Linked DNA regions of Saccharomyces cerevisiae S288C. Changing the gene in region 3 together with the main gene of any one other region gives a genetic interaction. Each region holds a gene or a part of one and is shown on either strand. Other genes may lie near its edges.

Evidence for each region. Genes that interact genetically often act in the same process or in processes that back each other up.
Region 1: mutations in VMS1 (region 3) and RPS6A together harm fitness less than expected from each alone (positive genetic interaction), as found in Saccharomyces cerevisiae (2 studies listed by BioGRID).
Region 2: mutations in VMS1 (region 3) and MCP1 together harm fitness more than expected from each alone (negative genetic interaction), as found in Saccharomyces cerevisiae (2 studies listed by BioGRID).

Annotation. Positions count from the first base shown.
Region 1 is NC_001148.4:374,953-382,797, forward strand, and holds RPS6A (40S ribosomal protein eS6 RPS6A), read right to left. Parts: upstream 3,444-7,845; coding exon 3,438-3,443; intron 3,044-3,437; coding exon 2,339-3,043; downstream 1-2,338. Other genes in the region: SSU1 (Ssu1p), read left to right, coding at 1-217; glutathione-disulfide reductase GLR1, read left to right, coding at 550-2,001; RLM1 (Rlm1p), read right to left, coding at 4,168-6,198; YPL088W (aldo-keto reductase superfamily protein), read left to right, coding at 7,013-7,845.
Region 2 is NC_001147.6:764,531-772,305, forward strand, and holds MCP1 (Mcp1p), read right to left. Parts: upstream 3,248-7,775; coding exon 2,339-3,247; downstream 1-2,338. Other genes in the region: HER1 (Her1p), read left to right, coding at 1-2,035; WTM2 (transcriptional modulator), read left to right, coding at 3,879-5,282; WTM1 (transcriptional modulator), read left to right, coding at 6,270-7,583. UniProt on the Saccharomyces cerevisiae protein: Recruits the lipid transfer protein Vps13 to mitochondria thereby promoting vacuole-mitochondria contacts. Involved in mitochondrial lipid homeostasis.
Region 3 is NC_001136.10:551,650-557,538, reverse strand, and holds VMS1 (Vms1p), read right to left. Parts: upstream 4,286-5,889; coding exon 2,387-4,285; downstream 1-2,386. Other genes in the region: acid phosphatase DET1, read left to right, coding at 1-483; triose-phosphate isomerase TPI1, read left to right, coding at 1,067-1,813; uroporphyrinogen decarboxylase HEM12, read right to left, coding at 4,591-5,679. UniProt on the Saccharomyces cerevisiae protein: Endonuclease that cleaves polypeptidyl-tRNAs downstream of the ribosome-associated quality control (RQC) pathway to release incompletely synthesized polypeptides for degradation.

The DNA.
Region 1 (7,845 bases), on a different chromosome or scaffold from region 3:
AGTCCTAGGAACCATATACGGCGGTGTTTGCGTTTGTTGGTCAATTCTATGCCTTTTATGCACATTGCATGAGTATTCTAAAAAGATGCTGCATGCTGCCCGTAAATCTTCATTATTTTCAGAGTCAGGTACGGAAAAGACGACAGTTTCTCCGTATAACAGCATTGAAAGCGTGGAAGAATCAAACTCGGCTCTAGATTTTACGCGTTTAGCATAAAATTGTTGGTTTTATACGTACATAATTGGCAAGCATTTCATGTAGGAGTCTCAATAGATAGTTTAATTCATTTGCACGGCGCTTTGCTGCTTTTGCTTCTTCACGTTGGTTTTCACTATGCCTGATATTTTTTGACGTCACTTAGTAAGCACGACCCTTGTCAATTTTTCGAGGATTTCGGAGCTTTCCATTTGGAATCTACTATTAAAATCAGTCTAAAAAAGTATAAGAAACACTTCTGGTTTTTCTCATGCGCTTCTCACTCTCAGTATATTTTGCTGCTTTCCTTCATATGTATATATATCTATTTACATATTAGTTTACAGAACTTTATGCTTTCTGCAACCAAACAAACATTTAGAAGTCTACAGATAAGAACTATGTCCACGAACACCAAGCATTACGATTACCTCGTCATCGGGGGTGGCTCAGGGGGTGTTGCTTCCGCAAGAAGAGCTGCATCTTATGGTGCGAAGACATTACTAGTTGAAGCTAAGGCTCTTGGTGGTACCTGTGTTAACGTGGGTTGTGTTCCGAAGAAAGTCATGTGGTATGCTTCTGACCTCGCTACTAGAGTATCCCATGCAAATGAATATGGATTATATCAGAATCTTCCATTAGATAAAGAGCATTTGACTTTTAATTGGCCAGAATTTAAGCAGAAAAGGGATGCTTATGTCCATAGGTTGAACGGTATATACCAGAAGAATTTAGAAAAAGAAAAAGTGGATGTTGTATTTGGATGGGCTAGATTCAATAAGGACGGTAATGTTGAAGTTCAGAAAAGGGATAATACTACTGAAGTTTACTCCGCTAACCATATTTTAGTTGCGACCGGTGGAAAGGCTATTTTCCCCGAAAACATTCCAGGTTTCGAATTAGGTACTGATTCTGATGGGTTCTTTAGATTGGAAGAACAACCTAAGAAAGTTGTTGTTGTTGGCGCTGGTTATATTGGTATTGAGCTAGCAGGTGTGTTCCATGGGCTGGGATCCGAAACGCACTTGGTAATTAGAGGTGAAACTGTCTTGAGAAAATTTGATGAATGCATCCAGAACACTATTACTGACCATTACGTAAAGGAAGGCATCAACGTTCATAAACTATCCAAAATTGTTAAGGTGGAGAAAAATGTAGAAACTGACAAACTGAAAATACATATGAATGACTCAAAGTCCATCGATGACGTTGACGAATTAATTTGGACAATTGGACGTAAATCCCATCTAGGTATGGGTTCAGAAAATGTAGGTATAAAGCTGAACTCTCATGACCAAATAATTGCTGATGAATATCAGAACACCAATGTTCCAAACATTTATTCTCTAGGTGACGTTGTTGGAAAAGTTGAATTGACACCTGTCGCTATTGCAGCGGGCAGAAAGCTGTCTAATAGACTGTTTGGTCCAGAGAAATTCCGTAATGACAAACTAGATTACGAGAACGTCCCCAGCGTAATTTTCTCACATCCTGAAGCCGGTTCCATTGGTATTTCTGAGAAGGAAGCCATTGAAAAGTACGGTAAGGAGAATATAAAGGTCTACAATTCCAAATTTACCGCCATGTACTATGCTATGTTGAGTGAGAAATCACCCACAAGATATAAAATTGTTTGTGCGGGACCAAATGAAAAGGTTGTCGGTCTGCACATTGTTGGTGATTCCTCTGCAGAAATCTTGCAAGGGTTCGGTGTTGCTATAAAGATGGGTGCCACTAAGGCTGATTTCGATAATTGTGTTGCTATTCATCCGACTAGCGCAGAAGAATTGGTTACTATGAGATGAAGCAACGAAACTAGACGTCCAATCTGCTGTTGCTATACTGGACTTTTGTACTCTTGTAAACAATCTTATATAGCATCCTGAAATACGTAGTAATTTTGTCATTTCTGTTCAAGGACAAGGGTTCCTTTTTTTTTCAGACTATTAGCTACTGTGGACTCGCTTGGATATTCAGTTGAGGATACATTCCGACTCTCGTTTACAATACATATGATTATTTTTCTTTTTGTTAATTATATAAAAAATAAAGTTATTTGATTTTAAGCTTAAAAATACACAAAATACAGAATAAGAAAGGAGTTTTTGAACAAAAGAATTTATCTTTTACTGCTTTCTAACTTTAAGCCTTCAAAGAAGAAGCTCTTCTCTTTCTGATTTCAGCCTTCTCAGCCTTTCTTTCAGACAATCTCTTAGCCAACAATTGAGCGTATTCGGCAGCAGCTTCTCTTTGAGCTTGAGCGTTTCTGACCTTCAAAGCTCTTTGGTGTCTCTTTCTTTGCAATCTTTGAGGAGTAACCAATCTTTGGATCTTTGGAGCCTTGGTGTAAGTCTTTTCACCCTTGGTGACTTCTCTTCTGATGACGAAATCACGAACGTCATCTTCCTTGGACAAACCGAAGAACTTTCTGATGTTGTTAGCTCTCTTTGGACCCAATCTCTTTGGAACAGTAGTGTCAGTTAGACCTTCCAATTCTTGCTCACCCTTCTTGACAATGACCAAAGCCAAGACAGCCAAATCTGGACCAACAATGGCACCTCTGACGGACTTTCTCTTTCTTTCACCATCACGTCTTGGTCTGTAACAAGAAACGTTCTTGGTCAACAACAACTTGATTCTAGTTGGCAACAAAACACCTTGCTTCATTGGGAAACCTTGTTTGTCGTTACCACCAGAGATCTTGAAGACGTAACCCTTGAATTCGTCACCAACGGCTTCACCATCGACTTCTTGACCGATTCTCTTGTCGAAGAAAACACGAATACGGTGTTCATCATCAATTTCGAAGGTCTTTTGAGACCCGTTAACTGGGTAAGAAATGTTCAACTATTTTAAATTTTCAACAGGTTATTAAGAAAATTTGTTAGTATACTATTGCAAAATTAATGTTTGAATAGGGTGAAGTTTATTACTCTAGAGAAATTATTAAGTGGAAGATGAAAAAGCTTGTCTTTTATTGACTATACTCCAAGTATATGAACTGCTTCAATTTCACGGTTTGTAGTAACAGTATATGTAAACCCGCTCTGTTTGTTTAAAAATAACGCCACAAACGCATCAATTAGTATATGGTAGTCTTCCTGCTTCTTTCCATAAAAAATTTCTAAAATCTTTACGACGTCTGGTTCTGTTTAGTTCTTTCTCACTTTCAAACTTTCATGCCATTTTTCCACATATAAAGTTCTCTGTTGCCCCTCAATAATAGTATCATAAATCATACCTTCATGATGTATAGTCTGTCTTCACTCTTTTGTCACTTCTCTTAAGCAAATATAAAAATTCAATGACGAATAAGCATTAACCACTTTATCCTTGGTAACACTGTATATGAAATTTCAAAGAAACTGCAGCATCATGATGTTCCTAGACGTCGGTACTGGAATTCCCACCCAGTAGACTTACCTAGGTAGCGGCATTCCTCCAACGCTTACCAGGAGAGATAACTTTCCCGCTAGAATCGATAGAGGAGCGTGGAATTACGCCAATCTTCCAAGTGGGAACGGGCAGAGTGTCCAGTGGCTTCCTGCCTACAGAATGCACGGCCCCAGTGGGATTGGTGCAATCGCGCACGTTCCAACTTTCCGATGCTCCGGCGCGTCGATGACAATTTTACACATGAAAAACGAACTATGTAAAAATAGTTGAAATGTATGGGTTCAATGAGAACTCGAATGTACGGATGTTTTCTCTGAATGAACCTCTTGTCTTCTTCCGGCTTCTGCTTACATCAAACTCCAGGCCAGGCGGCAATTCATTTTAGTTGCTAATGCACAAAAGAGTACTTAAATACTATCATTATTCAGAAAATGCAATTGAGTTTTTCGTTTTTCTTCCTTGTTTGGGTTATTCACTACGTAAATATGTGCATTTACAATAATATAAATATAAATTTTTTAAATGAAAAGAAGTTTCTTATGCTTGGAATATTCATACTGGTCAAATTTTTTGGTTTATATTTTGCTTGAATTTTTTTCTCCTGAAATATCAGTCGAAAAATTAAAGAATTTAGTGCCTAGTGGTGTTTGAGCAGTATTTATGTATGGAGTCAGCCCGGTATTTCCATTATATGCGGTGGCAGCAGCATCATATGTACTTGAGTTGGACTGATTGTTCGAGTCACCATCGGTAGTATGTTCTGAAATAGCAGCTCCATTTACGGGTGCATCTTCATTATTACTATAGTAACTGTTATTGCTATTGTTACTGTTATTGTCGTTGCCGTTGTTGCTGTTGTTGTTGCTGCTGTTGTTGTTGTTATTGTTGTTGTTGTTGTTAGTGTTGTTAGTGCTGCTGATATTGCTGGAGTTGCCGTTGTTTACGGCCGTCTGTACGGGAGGGAAAGTACCAGGATTGTTTGTGTTTCCCGGCTTGGCACTGTTGGGTCCCATTGACCAGTCTGGAAACATCGATATAGAAGAAACATTTGGAGAATTACTCATCAAATCATGTACGAACTTCGATGGCAGTGAACCAGTTGGAGGGCCATTGCTGGTTTCAGGGCCGGAAAAAGTTGAAGGGGGGCGTCCGGTTAATGTTGTAGTTAATGGTACTGTTTGGCTCTGTTTTTTGAAAGACATTTGTTGGTATTGCTGGGTTTGTCTTTGAGCTAAAAAAGATGTATTTTGTTGGAAAGGTCCGCCAGGAATATTCGATGGTTGCAAGGGAGTGGCAATGTATGGCTGTGTTGCAGAAAAAAGAGGTGAAGACCCACTTCCGAAAGGATAAGGGTGATTGTTATTGTTACTGCCATTACCATTGTTAGAACCGTTAGGCGCATTTGCATTTGGCAATTTTATTACCATTCTGCCATTATTACCTTTTTGGAGAGTTAAGGGGCCTGAGGCAGATGCGGATAGTGGAGAAATTTTGCTAGACCTACTTGTTTTGTTTTCTTTCATTATCTGCGAAGAGCCCATACTATTGCCGTTGGCCGATGTGGAGGAGGCAGAGGAGGGTTCACTTGGAATAGCGGAATTACTGCTGAAATTGTTGTTCGGAATTCTCACACGAAGTACCGGTCTGGCGGACAATTTCCTTCTTGCTTTGACAGTCTGCTGAATAGAGTCTTCCAAAGAATTAGATGGTGACTGAGTGTAGTTGCTGTTGTCATTATTATTGCTGCCACTATTGTTAATTTTGTGCTCCTGTTTAGGGGTCCTTGAGGATGCATTTGTAAATGGCTTACTGAACTTGTTCGGTGAAATGGAAATGGGTGGAGGACGACCATTAAAGGAAGAGTTTTGAAAGCTTGGTAATTTTGGAAAATCCATCGTGGAAGGAGAAGATGAACTGGATGAAGGCTGGTTAAGATTGTACATGCTACTATGGTATGGTCTCGATATATTTTGCTGCTGTTGCTGTTGCGGAGTTCTACTTATTTGCAAAGGATCCGGTTTCAATCTTTTCAAATGTTGTAAAGGCGGCAGCGCGTTCTCAGGATGACGTTTATTTTGCTCACTACCATCCATCTTTGAAATGAGTGCGGTCGGGGATAACAACTTCATGTGTGCACTCGGTATATTTTTATCAGAGGCTTTTTTATTCGAATGCATATTTGAATTCCTCTCAAAATTGCCATGATCATCGTCGTCCTCATCATTGTTCTCATCATCATCATTTTCTGACTGGTTCATTCCTTTAACATTTGATTTCGAAGGCTTATTTGACATAGACGACCTGAGTAGGTCTTGATTTATGTTAACGGATGCACTTTTGTGAAAGTCTCCATAATCGGAAGGATCTTTCACTTCGTGAAGCAAGTTTTTGTCATTTTGGTAGTGATAGATTAAATCATTCGTATCCACAGAGGAAAACTCATAGAACGTGTTATTGGACCCCAGTATAATGACGGCTATGTCTACTTGACAAAGAACGGATAGTTCATGGGCCTTCTTAAAAAGGCCAGCTTTACGTTTTATAAACGTGACAGCCCTATTTCTGTCATCAGAAATTCTCTGGATTTCAATCTTCCGTCTACCCATGTTGTATCTATAGTATAGTTTTGCGACACTTTAATATTTAAGTTTTTTTCACGCTTCAGCCTGTTTGCTCCGGGGGATATTAACCTCACAACGTGATAGAAACCTTGAAAAAAAAAAAGAATAATTCTGCTTGCCAGCTTTCAATTACTTTAACGAGTCAAAAGTTGAGTTGGCTATCAGGAGTAGGCAGTTCTAATTGAATCAGTCGTTGAACACTTTAGAACAGGCTCGCTTCTTTCTTACGTTTCTTTTTGTCTGTCCTTTAATTATTATTGTTCAGAGGAAGATCGAGCTGTTTCTATTATTAGCTTTCATCTCTTCCGTTTTATTTTTATCAGAAATCTGAAGTAAATTTTTTTCTTTCTTTCTGCGGCTTGGCATTCATCACCCGGTGATGCTGCGCCGTTAAGAGAGCCCAATAATGATAAGACGATTTCTGCATTTAATATACGACTGAGACAGACTTCGTCACCGTGGAAGTATTTTTTGCGAACGTGGAAGTATTTCACCCACGTATGGCAGGCAAGAACGCATTTTCAATAACGTTATTTCCACGGAAAAATGTGATTAGTGTAGTAGGTTAGGAACGGGAGATAACTCGGCCGCTTGGTTTGAATTTGTTTCCCTTCGATTTTGTTTTCATTGCTTGAGTAAAAGAAGCTAAGCTAACATCTGCCTTATTCTTCTCAGCCTTTTCGTATATATATATATATATATATATATATTAGGACCCAGAGAACAAGGTATCATATATTAATTGTCTTGCCAACTATGTAATTTGGCTGTTACGGAAGACCCACATCAGGCGGCAGAAATGGTTTTAGTTAAGCAGGTAAGACTCGGTAACTCAGGTCTTAAGATATCACCGATAGTGATAGGATGTATGTCATACGGGTCCAAGAAATGGGCGGACTGGGTCATAGAGGACAAGACCCAAATTTTCAAGATTATGAAGCATTGTTACGATAAAGGTCTTCGTACTTTTGACACAGCAGATTTTTATTCTAATGGTTTGAGTGAAAGAATAATTAAGGAGTTTCTGGAGTACTACAGTATAAAGAGAGAAACGGTGGTGATTATGACCAAAATTTACTTCCCAGTTGATGAAACGCTTGATTTGCATCATAACTTCACTTTAAATGAATTTGAAGAATTGGACTTGTCCAACCAGCGGGGTTTATCCAGAAAGCATATAATTGCTGGTGTCGAGAACTCTGTGAAAAGACTGGGCACATATATAGACCTTTTACAAATTCACAGATTAGATCATGAAACGCCAATGAAAGAGATCATGAAGGCATTGAATGATGTTGTTGAAGCGGGCCACGTTAGATACATTGGGGCTTCGAGTATGTTGGCAACTGAATTTGCAGAACTGCAGTTCACAGCCGATAAATATGGCTGGTTTCAGTTCATTTCTTCGCAGTCTTACTACAATTTGCTCTATCGTGAAGATGAACGCGAATTGATTCCTTTTGCCAAAAGACACAATATTGGTTTACTTCCATGGTCTCCTAACGCACGAGGCATGTTGACTCGTCCTCTGAACCAAAGCACGGACAGGATTAAGAGTGATCCAACTTTCAAGTCGTTACATTTGGATAATCTCGAAGAAGAACAAAAGGAAATTATAAATCGTGTGGAAAA
Region 2 (7,775 bases), on a different chromosome or scaffold from region 3:
TGTTGTGATAAACGAACAAAGTTGGAAACTACTTTGCAAGTTTTTATTACAAAATAAAACATTGATCAAGCTGGATATTTCTCAGACTAAAGCAAGGACAGATTTAAATGATTCTAACTACAGAGACCAAATGGACTGGGAACTATTTTGCGAAGTTCTTAGAAATAGAGAAGGTAGACCTTTGGAAGAATTGCTTTTGAATGGTTTAAGGTTTGACAAAATGTCATTCAGTCATTTCAAAAATATCCTACTTACTTTCGCACAAATGAACCCTAAAAACCCTATTCGTCTCGGGATGGCTAACGTAGAATTCTCAACCGAGTGTTTTGATTTTCTCTTTAATTGGATGTCTGAATATAACGTTCAAGGTGTGGATTTGGCCTATAATAATTTAGAAAGTTTGGCAAAACGAATGATCAAAAAACTAGCTAGGCTTCCTTATAAGCATTTGGAATATTTTACCCTTAACAGCACTAATATCACCTCTGTTGATGATATGTCCTACATACTAAAATATCTTTCACGTTTGCCAAGCATAAAATTTCTAGATTTGAGCAACTTGCCTCAGTTATTCCCGGGGATTTTAACATCCGGCTATAAGTATTTTCCCCAATTTCCACAACTGAAACGTATTCATTTTGATTTCGACGATCTTTCTATAAAAGAAACAACCATGCTTGTCAGCATATTAGCTAAGTGTGAAACCCTCTCTCATGTTTCATTGATAGGACAAAGTCCTATGCCCGATGCAAGTAAAATATCCGACAGTACTGATGAACCCGATAAGTCGAAAGATGAAAAGAAAGAACAAATCGTATTTATGAGAAATACGCTTTGGGCCTCATTGTATGCATTTGTTAGGGACTCTCACAATTTAGTTAGTTTAGACGTTGACTATGATCAAGTACCAGACGAAATTCAATCAAGAATTGCGTTATGCTTAATGCATAATATGAAGAGAATTATGGACTCTAGCTTTAAATTAGATGAATTGACTGTACAAGATGATTTAATATTTGATGGTTCCTTGATAACTGAGACAGCAGAAGAAGTTTTGAAAAGATTAAATGACAAATCTTTACTTCAAAATGATGTTGGGAAGAAATATCTTTTAAAGAAATATTTTGAGAAAATGGAAAAGGTACATCATAATGTTCAAAATACAATTGATTCTATGTTTGAGAAAAGAAAATCCGGCGAACTGCCACTGCAGGAAAAGGAAAACCTACTAAGGTTATTGCTTCTTGAGAAAAATTTATCAAATATTCTTGATATTTTTGCTTCTATGCCCAATATAGCAGATGTCGTACCATTTTCAAAAGCCGATAATAGTTTCCCTAATATTGGGGATAGCACGGTTAGCGCAAACTATAATGATGGTATTCGTCCATCTCTAAAACACTTAGATTCTGACAGGTTAATCAACGATGTTTCAATTCCTGAAAACGATTCATCAATTAGACCACACTTAATGGCCACCGACTCGGGACGAATCATCGATGTGACCACTGGTAAAGCTCTTCTTTTCAAGAGTTCGTCTAATACCTCACTGGCCGGCAAGAGACAGGAAGAAGAGGAAGGTGAATTACATAAATGGGGTGTGTTTGTACAGCACCAAAGCTCAAGACATAACTCTGGGCTTCCTTCATCCGCCAATTCTTCGAGAATTAGCGGGTCGTTAACACCAGATAGCAGTGTCGCCGGAGGAAAGAAAGGGGAATCCTCTCGCACATCTGGTACAAGGCCAAAAATCTTACCAAAGATTCCTACCGGTGCCGAATTAAGGGATGCCATTATTAAAGCTAAGGGTATTGATTCTGTAGATGATCTGATTAAAAATGTTACCTCTGAAAAGGTTGGATTGGAATCATTATATGGAGATGAATTGAACTCTAGAAGCCCGAGTAATGACAGTTTACAAGAATCACAACAAAAGGCGCCTTTGCAGAGGCCCCTTGTTGAAGATGAAACAGTGACAAAAAAATATGACAAACTATTGAACGATCTGTCTAATGTTCGTCACAGTAAAACCTAAATTATTTTATGCTTCTGTCTTTCCTTTCTCTTTCGATTATTAGAAGGTGCATCTTTGTATAAATATCCCATCAATAATGTATTCTTAGGAATCTATATATGTATGTACGTTTTATGTGTATATGTATTTTACGTTTTTTCATAATCATATACTTTCTGCCGAAATTTTTTGCCTTCATTATGCACACTAATGTTATTAATCAGATAAAAATACAGAAATTTAAAATAAATACTGAGAATAATATAATTAACTGTTCGAGAATTGTCGCAAATTAATAGCTTCACACTACTCCCACAAGGATTCCTAATTCACGTGCAACAGCAACCGGATCTTTTTGAAAATGCTTTCGAATTGGTTGGGACCCAGTTTCGTAGAATCCTCTTTCATCAATCTAATCAGAGAAACGAACCCAACGAGTGTTAATAGATTGATAGCTGTGGACCATTTTTTCCTGCTAGTCATTTTTCTAACACCGAAATAACGGCAGAGCCCCGAACCTATATGATATACACCTGACTCGAGGAGAATAGCTAACGGCACCAGGCCTCCAAGCCATTTCCACCACCTGTTCTTGCTAGATAGTAATTGCTTTATAGAGGCGAAATCCACCTCAGTAGAGATGGAATTCGGCACCCATTTCATAATTAATAAGTGGTATATCAGGACGGGAACAAGGATGTATCCACTAATCACTTGTGGAGGAATGCGGAAGGTCTTATACAATCCAAATAAATAGCCAGAAATTCCACCAGTTAAACCAATCGAATCTTGGGATAGATCTTGTTCGGCCGATATCTTTAAATGTCGATGTCTATTTCTTCTTGGCTTGTTCCAGTTGTTCACGATTCGGAGCAAGACACCAGCAGAAACATGAAGAGTAATACCCGCAACTAACAGCTTGGTAGTTATGGACGGTAAAATCTCTCTCACCATCATTAAAACGTCGTCAGGAGCAGAATCAGGTGATACTGCCGGCGTGATTAATGTATTTGCTGCATGTAGTGGGAAATACAATGCCATGGGCAGTACCGAAATCTTTTGACAGTTCCAAAGGAATCTCCGACATGAACTCCTGGAAAAAGGATACGGAATGCCAAATATTTTTTTCCTCTTATCAGGATTACCATCTCCTTCGGGGCTATGTGCATTAACATCATGAGGGAGACTAGCAGGGTCTACTGGTTCTGGAGGCACTTCATGCAACTTTATCATCGTAATAAACAAAACTCTGGGCTAACTGGTATATGCCCTAGTAATTCGGGACCTGTTAGGAGCAATACAATCTACACAAGGTTTTCCTTACTTATTTTCCAATTGACGACCAACTTGCCTCACACAATTACAGAGCACGTATTCGCTCTCTAGCCACTCTTTTCAAAACAAATTTTAGTTGTGGACCTGGTTAGGATACAATCAGCGATGTCGGAAGACTGATGTAGTAGAATTGACTGGAACGCTTCTTCTATAGTCTACACGGAAGCTATACTCCCTTGAATAGATGGTAGATGTTCCGCATAAGGTTTGTCCTTTTGGTTTTTTAGCCCCGTTCGGGGTTCGAACTGCTAAGTCATATTCCGCACATATGCGTCCGCAGACTCTCATTGGATCATTCTTACCCATTCGGGTCATAATGCAAGCCTTTACCATTTATGGCACTTTGATTTCCCTTTCCATCTCACATCTTCAATTCTATTGTTTTTGAAAAAAAAAAAAAATAAAAAAAAAAAAGATTAAAGGCAATTAGTTAGCTGACGTATGGAACATCTCTGCTGTACAGCTACATTTACTTATAAGACAAGGAGCAATTAGTAGCGACGGGAGCAAGAACTAAAAAGGATAGAGGATGGCGAAAAGCAAATCCAGTCAGGGTGCGAGTGGAGCACGCCGTAAACCGGCACCTTCTTTATACCAACACATTTCTAGCTTTAAACCACAATTCAGCACAAGAGTCGACGATGTTTTACATTTTAGCAAGACACTGACATGGAGAAGTGAGATTATTCCAGACAAATCCAAGGGCACCTTGACGACTAGTCTTTTATATTCTCAAGGTAGTGATATTTACGAAATAGACACTACTTTACCATTAAAGACATTCTATGACGACGACGACGACGACGACAACGACGACGACGACGAAGAAGGTAACGGCAAGACGAAGTCTGCAGCCACCCCAAATCCAGAGTATGGTGATGCTTTCCAAGATGTTGAGGGGAAACCATTGCGCCCAAAGTGGATTTACCAGGGCGAAACAGTGGCAAAAATGCAATACTTGGAAAGCTCAGACGACAGTACGGCGATCGCGATGTCCAAGAACGGCTCTTTGGCATGGTTCAGAGATGAGATCAAGGTTCCCGTTCATATCGTACAGGAAATGATGGGCCCTGCTACTAGATACTCTAGTATTCACTCTCTAACCAGACCAGGTTCATTAGCAGTGTCAGATTTTGATGTGTCGACAAATATGGATACGGTAGTAAAGTCACAAAGTAACGGCTACGAGGAGGACAGCATCTTGAAAATCATCGACAACTCCGATAGACCGGGAGATATATTACGTACAGTGCACGTTCCAGGGACCAACGTGGCTCACTCAGTTAGATTTTTTAACAACCATTTATTTGCATCTTGTTCAGATGACAACATTTTAAGATTCTGGGACACAAGAACAGCGGACAAACCGCTTTGGACGCTAAGCGAACCGAAAAATGGACGACTAACGTCCTTCGATTCCTCTCAAGTTACTGAAAACCTATTTGTCACTGGGTTCAGCACGGGTGTCATCAAGCTATGGGATGCGCGTGCTGTGCAACTGGCTACTACTGACCTCACACATAGGCAGAACGGCGAGGAACCGATCCAAAACGAAATAGCCAAGTTGTTCCATTCTGGCGGCGATTCCGTTGTCGATATCCTGTTCTCACAAACCTCTGCAACAGAATTTGTTACGGTTGGAGGAACGGGTAATGTCTACCACTGGGACATGGAGTACTCTTTTTCAAGAAACGACGATGACAACGAAGACGAAGTTCGAGTGGCTGCTCCGGAGGAACTTCAGGGTCAATGTTTAAAATTTTTCCACACAGGTGGCACAAGAAGATCGAGCAACCAATTCGGGAAGAGGAACACTGTGGCGCTACACCCCGTAATCAATGATTTTGTTGGCACTGTTGATTCAGATAGTCTTGTTACTGCCTACAAACCATTTCTGGCCAGTGACTTCATTGGCAGAGGTTACGACGATTAAAAAAAAAAAAGAGTAAGAAATTAACGTTACCACCTATGGGAAAGGCAGTAACTCACAAGCATTCACGTACATAATTCTGTTTTTTTTTTTTTTATTCATTTCTAGCACGCTATCGGGGTTATTTTTTTTTTTGTAATATATAGTGATGGTATAATGTTGTATAGATACTGGTATCGCTCCTAATAAAGACTCTTTCAGATTTCTGAAGCCAACGAAGTAAGGCCTCAAGAAAAGAGGGTTACCAGTAATTAACCAAGCAATTTCTTTTTTTTCTTTCCAGCAAAGAAATAAGACAAAAACCGGCTATATGGAGAAGAGGGAGGATCTAATGGTGACATAGTCCATTTCAAGATTCCCTCTTTCGTTTCTCGGATGAAGCTCGATGTTTACAATTCAGAATCTTAAAAGGCTGTCGCTAAGAAAGACCCAGAGGCACATGCAAGATAGTTGTGCCTGTACCACGTGAGAAGGCGGTATTCAATATGCGGTGCTGTGCTGGCTTCCCTTTTTGGAACGCGCCGGGGTATAACAAAGAAAGGCTAAGTCATACAATAGGCAAAAGACCTTTGTCTTTCCTTTTTTTCCTCTTTCCTAACATACGGTGGTTTATGTACTATCCCTTATGTAATTGCTTAGCTATACACAGTGAGCACACATAGTGGCGCTCACTACTCCCTTTTAATTTCAACTCGTAGATAGTTGGGCTATTTTCCTTCGAATCCTCGTTTATCATCTCATATTTAAGAGTACCATTTCGGGGCTTTTTTTTACCTTTTCCTTTTCCATGCAGTCTGTCCCCTTAATGTTCTATGTTTTTTTTTTTTTTTTTTCAGTTCTGTAGCTTCCAGTATAAAGGGAGGGAAAAAAGAAGATCCGAAAAGTTTATATTCGCCTGAATTGTAGATATTAGATAAGAAAATTAATTATTAATCAACCAATCTTGAAAGATACAAATAAATTGTAACACACTATACATTACAACCAAAAATGCCAAAAAAGGTTTGGAAATCATCTACGCCTTCCACTTATGAACATATCTCCAGCTTAAGACCAAAATTTGTGTCTCGTGTGGACAATGTTCTGCACCAAAGGAAGTCCTTGACGTTCAGCAACGTTGTTGTTCCAGATAAAAAAAATAACACTCTAACCTCAAGTGTTATATACTCTCAAGGTAGTGATATCTACGAAATTGACTTCGCTGTACCACTACAAGAAGCCGCTTCAGAACCGGTGAAAGACTATGGTGACGCCTTTGAAGGTATTGAAAACACCTCGTTGAGCCCAAAATTCGTGTACCAGGGTGAAACTGTCTCCAAAATGGCCTACTTAGATAAGACTGGAGAAACTACATTATTGTCGATGTCTAAGAACGGGTCGTTGGCTTGGTTCAAAGAGGGTATAAAGGTCCCTATTCACATTGTACAGGAATTGATGGGTCCAGCAACCAGCTATGCCAGCATCCATTCTTTAACCAGACCTGGTGATCTACCTGAAAAGGATTTCTCATTAGCCATCTCTGACTTCGGCATTTCCAATGATACCGAAACCATTGTGAAGTCTCAGAGTAATGGTGATGAAGAAGACAGTATTTTGAAAATCATTGACAATGCCGGTAAGCCTGGTGAGATTCTACGTACTGTTCATGTGCCTGGTACCACTGTGACTCACACCGTAAGATTTTTCGACAATCATATCTTTGCGTCTTGTTCAGATGACAATATTCTGAGGTTCTGGGACACTAGAACTTCCGACAAGCCTATATGGGTGTTGGGAGAACCAAAGAACGGAAAATTGACCTCGTTTGATTGCTCTCAGGTTTCCAACAACTTGTTTGTTACCGGTTTCAGTACGGGTATTATCAAGTTATGGGATGCCAGAGCGGCTGAAGCTGCCACCACTGATTTGACTTATAGACAAAACGGTGAAGATCCAATTCAGAATGAAATCGCTAACTTCTATCATGCCGGCGGTGATTCTGTTGTCGACGTCCAATTTTCTGCCACTTCAAGCTCTGAATTCTTTACTGTGGGCGGCACTGGTAATATTTACCACTGGAACACTGACTATTCCTTGTCAAAGTACAATCCTGACGATACCATTGCTCCTCCTCAAGATGCCACTGAAGAATCACAAACAAAATCTCTGAGATTCTTGCACAAGGGTGGAAGCAGAAGATCTCCAAAACAGATTGGAAGAAGAAACACCGCCGCTTGGCATCCAGTTATTGAAAACTTGGTTGGTACTGTCGATGACGATAGTTTAGTCAGCATCTACAAGCCCTATACCGAGGAAAGCGAATAGTCGCCATGCTAAACGCGCGGAACAAGGCCATATTTATATATTTAATGCTTTTAACTATTATTAGTTTTTCTCACCCAGGGCTGGTTTCTTTACCCTGTGTGATGAAAGTGCGCGCCTAAAGTTATGTATGAGCTACTGTTAGTATATTTATTATTCAATATTTAATTAAACAATACTTACTACTGATGAAAG
Region 3 (5,889 bases):
TACGAAAATAATGAAGATAATATTTGTGAAGGGAAGCCTGGAAAATGTTATCTGCAATATCGGGTTAAGGATGAGCCAAGAATAAGGGAACAAGATTTTGGTAATTTCCAAAAAATCAATAGCATGCAGGACGTTATGAAGAAGAGATCTACGTATGGTCATTTCTTCTTCAGATTCCCTCATGGAGAAAGTGCGGCAGATGTATATGACAGAGTCGCCAGTTTCCAAGAGACTTTATTCAGGCACTTCCATGATAGGCAAGAGAGAAGACCCAGAGATGTTGTTGTCCTAGTTACACATGGTATTTATTCCAGAGTATTCCTGATGAAATGGTTTAGATGGACATACGAAGAGTTTGAATCGTTTACCAATGTTCCTAACGGGAGCGTAATGGTGATGGAACTGGACGAATCCATCAATAGATACGTCCTGAGGACCGTGCTACCCAAATGGACTGATTGTGAGGGAGACCTAACTACATAGTGTTTAAAGATTACGGATATTTAACTTACTTAGAATAATGCCATTTTTTTGAGTTATAATAATCCTACGTTAGTGTGAGCGGGATTTAAACTGTGAGGACCTTAATACATTCAGACACTTCTGCGGTATCACCCTACTTATTCCCTTCGAGATTATATCTAGGAACCCATCAGGTTGGTGGAAGATTACCCGTTCTAAGACTTTTCAGCTTCCTCTATTGATGTTACACCTGGACACCCCTTTTCTGGCATCCAGTTTTTAATCTTCAGTGGCATGTGAGATTCTCCGAAATTAATTAAAGCAATCACACAATTCTCTCGGATACCACCTCGGTTGAAACTGACAGGTGGTTTGTTACGCATGCTAATGCAAAGGAGCCTATATACCTTTGGCTCGGCTGCTGTAACAGGGAATATAAAGGGCAGCATAATTTAGGAGTTTAGTGAACTTGCAACATTTACTATTTTCCCTTCTTACGTAAATATTTTTCTTTTTAATTCTAAATCAATCTTTTTCAATTTTTTGTTTGTATTCTTTTCTTGCTTAAATCTATAACTACAAAAAACACATACATAAACTAAAAATGGCTAGAACTTTCTTTGTCGGTGGTAACTTTAAATTAAACGGTTCCAAACAATCCATTAAGGAAATTGTTGAAAGATTGAACACTGCTTCTATCCCAGAAAATGTCGAAGTTGTTATCTGTCCTCCAGCTACCTACTTAGACTACTCTGTCTCTTTGGTTAAGAAGCCACAAGTCACTGTCGGTGCTCAAAACGCCTACTTGAAGGCTTCTGGTGCTTTCACCGGTGAAAACTCCGTTGACCAAATCAAGGATGTTGGTGCTAAGTGGGTTATTTTGGGTCACTCCGAAAGAAGATCTTACTTCCACGAAGATGACAAGTTCATTGCTGACAAGACCAAGTTCGCTTTAGGTCAAGGTGTCGGTGTCATCTTGTGTATCGGTGAAACTTTGGAAGAAAAGAAGGCCGGTAAGACTTTGGATGTTGTTGAAAGACAATTGAACGCTGTCTTGGAAGAAGTTAAGGACTGGACTAACGTCGTTGTCGCTTACGAACCAGTCTGGGCCATTGGTACCGGTTTGGCTGCTACTCCAGAAGATGCTCAAGATATTCACGCTTCCATCAGAAAGTTCTTGGCTTCCAAGTTGGGTGACAAGGCTGCCAGCGAATTGAGAATCTTATACGGTGGTTCCGCTAACGGTAGCAACGCCGTTACCTTCAAGGACAAGGCTGATGTCGATGGTTTCTTGGTCGGTGGTGCTTCTTTGAAGCCAGAATTTGTTGATATCATCAACTCTAGAAACTAAGATTAATATAATTATATAAAAATATTATCTTCTTTTCTTTATATCTAGTGTTATGTAAAATAAATTGATGACTACGGAAAGCTTTTTTATATTGTTTCTTTTTCATTCTGAGCCACTTAAATTTCGTGAATGTTCTTGTAAGGGACGGTAGATTTACAAGTGATACAACAAAAAGCAAGGCGCTTTTTCTAATAAAAAGAAGAAAAGCATTTAACAATTGAACACCTCTATATCAACGAAGAATATTACTTTGTCTCTAAATCCTTGTAAAATGTGTACGATCTCTATATGGGTTACTCATAAGTGTACCGAAGACTGCATTGAAAGTTTATGTTTTTTCACTGGAGGCGTCATTTTCGCGTTGAGAAGATGTTCTTATCCAAATTTCAACTGTTATATAGAAGAGCAAAAAATTGCCAAAAAAAACAACATTTATTCATTTGAAATATAAAATTTGGGCTTCTATATTTTAATATTGCTTTTCAATTACTGTTATTAAATGTAAGTACTGTGTCTATGAAAATATATGCAAATGCTAAGAAAAATCCTAAAAATTTGAATATGAGATATTCCTCAGTATTTCTTTTTCATCCTTTCTTCTGCGGCTCTAGCCCTTTGTTCTCTCATCAATCTGCGTCTCTGTTCATCGGTCAAAGAATTCAAATTTTGTTGCTGAATTGAAGGAATATTGGTTAACTTTTTGCCTGGACCCCTCTCTGCATCTTTAGCAAATCTTTGTTTTTCCTTGGCGGCTTCTAATTCCAATTTAATCAGTTTTTCTGCCTTTTCATTCTCTATTGCTTTTTTCTTTTCATTGATTTCATCAACTTGTTCTCTGCTCAATGGCTGACCGATATGAGTTTCGTCCCAATTAGTGAAAGACTCTCCAAGATTGTATCTTGCAATTTGAAACGCGTGTCTCACGTCGTCGTTTCTATTCAAATCCCACGCAGTCCTTCCTAGTCTGTTCTTGATCGTTGGATCGCATTTAATATTTGAGAGCAAAATCAGTGCCATCTGTTTCATCCCTTGCTGCGATGCATAATGTAACATGGTAGGGGTTAAGGAATATTTACTCTCAGGCTTTAACCGAAAGTTTCCATCAAGCTTATTCTTTTTTAAGAAGGATATCAATAACGGTGCCCTTCCTTTCTTCAGCAGAGAAATTATTTCTTCTGTTTGGATTTCTTCCAGTAACGGTTCTTGTTTTTCTTTAAATTCGTCCTTTTTGTTCGACACTTCTAACTTTTGTACTGTTTCTTTCACTGCCAATGGTTCAGGCTTAGGTAATATTTTCAGGTAGGAAAGTTCGCACCATGCCTTCTTCAATTCTAATACAGTGGGCCTGTTCGTGGTAAAAGGGAAGCTCTTTATCCTTTCATCACCCTTGTTCAGAACGGTATTATCAGTAAAAATTTTTTTATCACTGACATTGCGAGCTCGAATAAAAATATTATCACACTTTGACAGATAAGGTTCCCAGTCCTTCAACACACCCTGTATATCTGTTTTTAAAGCGCTTTCATTGTACCTACGAAGTGCTGAACCGGCAGAGTTAGCTTTTCCCTTTGCATTGTCCATTGCTGACTGAGAACCACCTTGCTTCCTTCTGGTAGTATACCTGTGAAACGTCTTGTGCTCTAAGAAATTGACCGCTTGCTCAATTAAGGTTTCGTCCTTCTTGTGCGCGTTCCCCTTGACATTGAGTCTTTGATGAGAAACAATTGCTCCCGCAAAATGTCCACCTCCCACCATAAACAGAGCTGAAATGGCCATTGGGTTCTCTTGCGAATTCCAAAAAGTCAAAGCTTCATTGGGGTTGGAAAGACTCCTTTTATTAAATAGAGACTTATAAATCGCCAAGACCTCATTCTTTTGAAGATACTTCGATTTGAAATAAATGTAGGGCGATTGGGTATTAATATGGCTAATAGCATCCGACTCGTCTTTTTGGAACCCTAATTTCTGCAAATCATTTTCGATTATAGTTTCCATATAATTATTAGTTTGTAGGTCCGGGTCCCGATCGCTGGCTTCCTCACTTTCTTCGTGATCGCTTGAAGTTTGCTCGCCGCCAGAATTTTCGTCTTCAGACTTGATACCATGCTCCTTAGAAATCAGCGCATCGAATTCCTCAACGGATAGGATATCCAGCCCCCTAAGGTTACGCTTAACATTCATCAAATGATAATCAGTCTGGTAGTGGGCCTTTTGTTCATTTCTGGAATCAAAGCTCATTTGACAAACACTACAACGCATAACATTTGATGTGACCTTCTTTCTTGCTATTTGGAGATCTCCAGACTCCTTGTTTCTATCATTATCAGATGTCTTCTCTACTTCAACTTCTCGCAGTGTGGAGTCAAAGCTCATCAATTTCAATGAATTCAGAAGTTGCTCAGACAAATCAAAAATATAAAGATCATTCTTTTTTAGTGAGCCAGTCATTTTACTCGCCTTTTGTGAATTCATGCTATTGGAAGCTTGTCAACAGGCGTGCAGATCTTTTGAAAATCCTTTTTCTTCGAAGGAAAGGTGATATGCATTCTCATTTATTTTCATATACCTTCATCTTTTATTTTCTTCTATTTAAGATTTTGTCACTACATCCATTCAGAGAACCTGCAAAAATAAATATCTGAAAAAAAAAAAAATCGTAATAAATATACAGAATATCGAAAAAAGAAAAAAGGCCACTTTTGAACGTTGTGAAAAAGATATTATTTACATAAACGTATATTATCACTTATAACACTATAAGAATCAATATTTCCACATTACTTCGAACCAATTCTGTGGCACTCCTCCAAGAAAAACTTGATGACGTCTGGATCCATGAAAGGGTGGGTACCGTGACCGAAATTAACAATGTAGCGGGACTTCCCACCTCCAAAAGCCTCAATCATCTGTTTAACTTTCTTTGTTATTACCTCTTTAGAACCATACATGACGCCAGGATCCAGGTTGCCCTGCAAGGTGACACGGTTCTTGTTTATTTTTACCGCTTCTCTTGGGTCCCAGGACCAGTCCAACGAAACAACGTCAAATCCTGAACAGCATAGCTTGTCCAAAGCATACCACGACCCTTTCGCAAAAACGATCATAGGAATCTGTTCCATGATACCTAATTCTTGCAATCTTTTAGGCACTCTTTCGGCAATTTGTCTTAAATATGGTAGGGAAAACTCATCAAAATCTACAGACGAAAGCTCACCACCCCAACTTTCAAAAACTTGTAGTATTTGAGCACCCGCCACGACTTGCTGACTCAGAAACTCCACGGCCACATCAGTGATTTTTTGTAATAATTTGTGAGAAAGCTCTGGATACATGTTAATCCATTGTTTGGCAAATCTGAAAAGACGGGATCCACCGCCTTCCGTCATATAAACCATTAGAGTCCAAGGTCCCCCGCAAAAGCCAAATAAGGGAACCTCACCATCCAACTTGATCCTTGTCATGGTGATTGCCTTGAAAGCCCAATCTAACTCTTTCAAAACATCAACCTTGTAGTCTAATACCGTTTGGAGGTCTTCCGGATTTCTTAAAGGTTCTGGGAAATGTGGACCTTTACCTTCGAGCATCTCGACCCTCATACCCATGGCTTGCGGAATAACTAAGATATCACTAAAAATAATAGCAGCATCAATGAGGCCTCTATAGCGTCTTACCGGCTGGATAGTAATCTCAGAAGCAATTTCCGCATCCCTGCAAGTTTGAAAGAAATCACGATTGTTTTTCACCTCGTGATATTCCGGCAGGTAACGACCTGCCTGGCGCATTATCCAGCATGGCGGTCTCTCGACTTTTTCACCCTTTGCGGCTCTCAATATCAAATCGTTTTTTGGAGCTGGAAAGTTACCCATAGCGTTATAACCTGTTCTTTGCTTTATTTTTTTTTTTTTTGTTCTTCCTTTTCTCGAAGAGAGCTTACCAAACACAATTCTGAGATAATGCTTGATGAATTGAAGAACCTATCGATCACTCTATGTTACCTTCGTCTGGAACATCACTAATTCGAGCGGTAAAGATGAAAATGGCAGAACATTTCGCTGGCAAAATTAAAACTCTTGCCT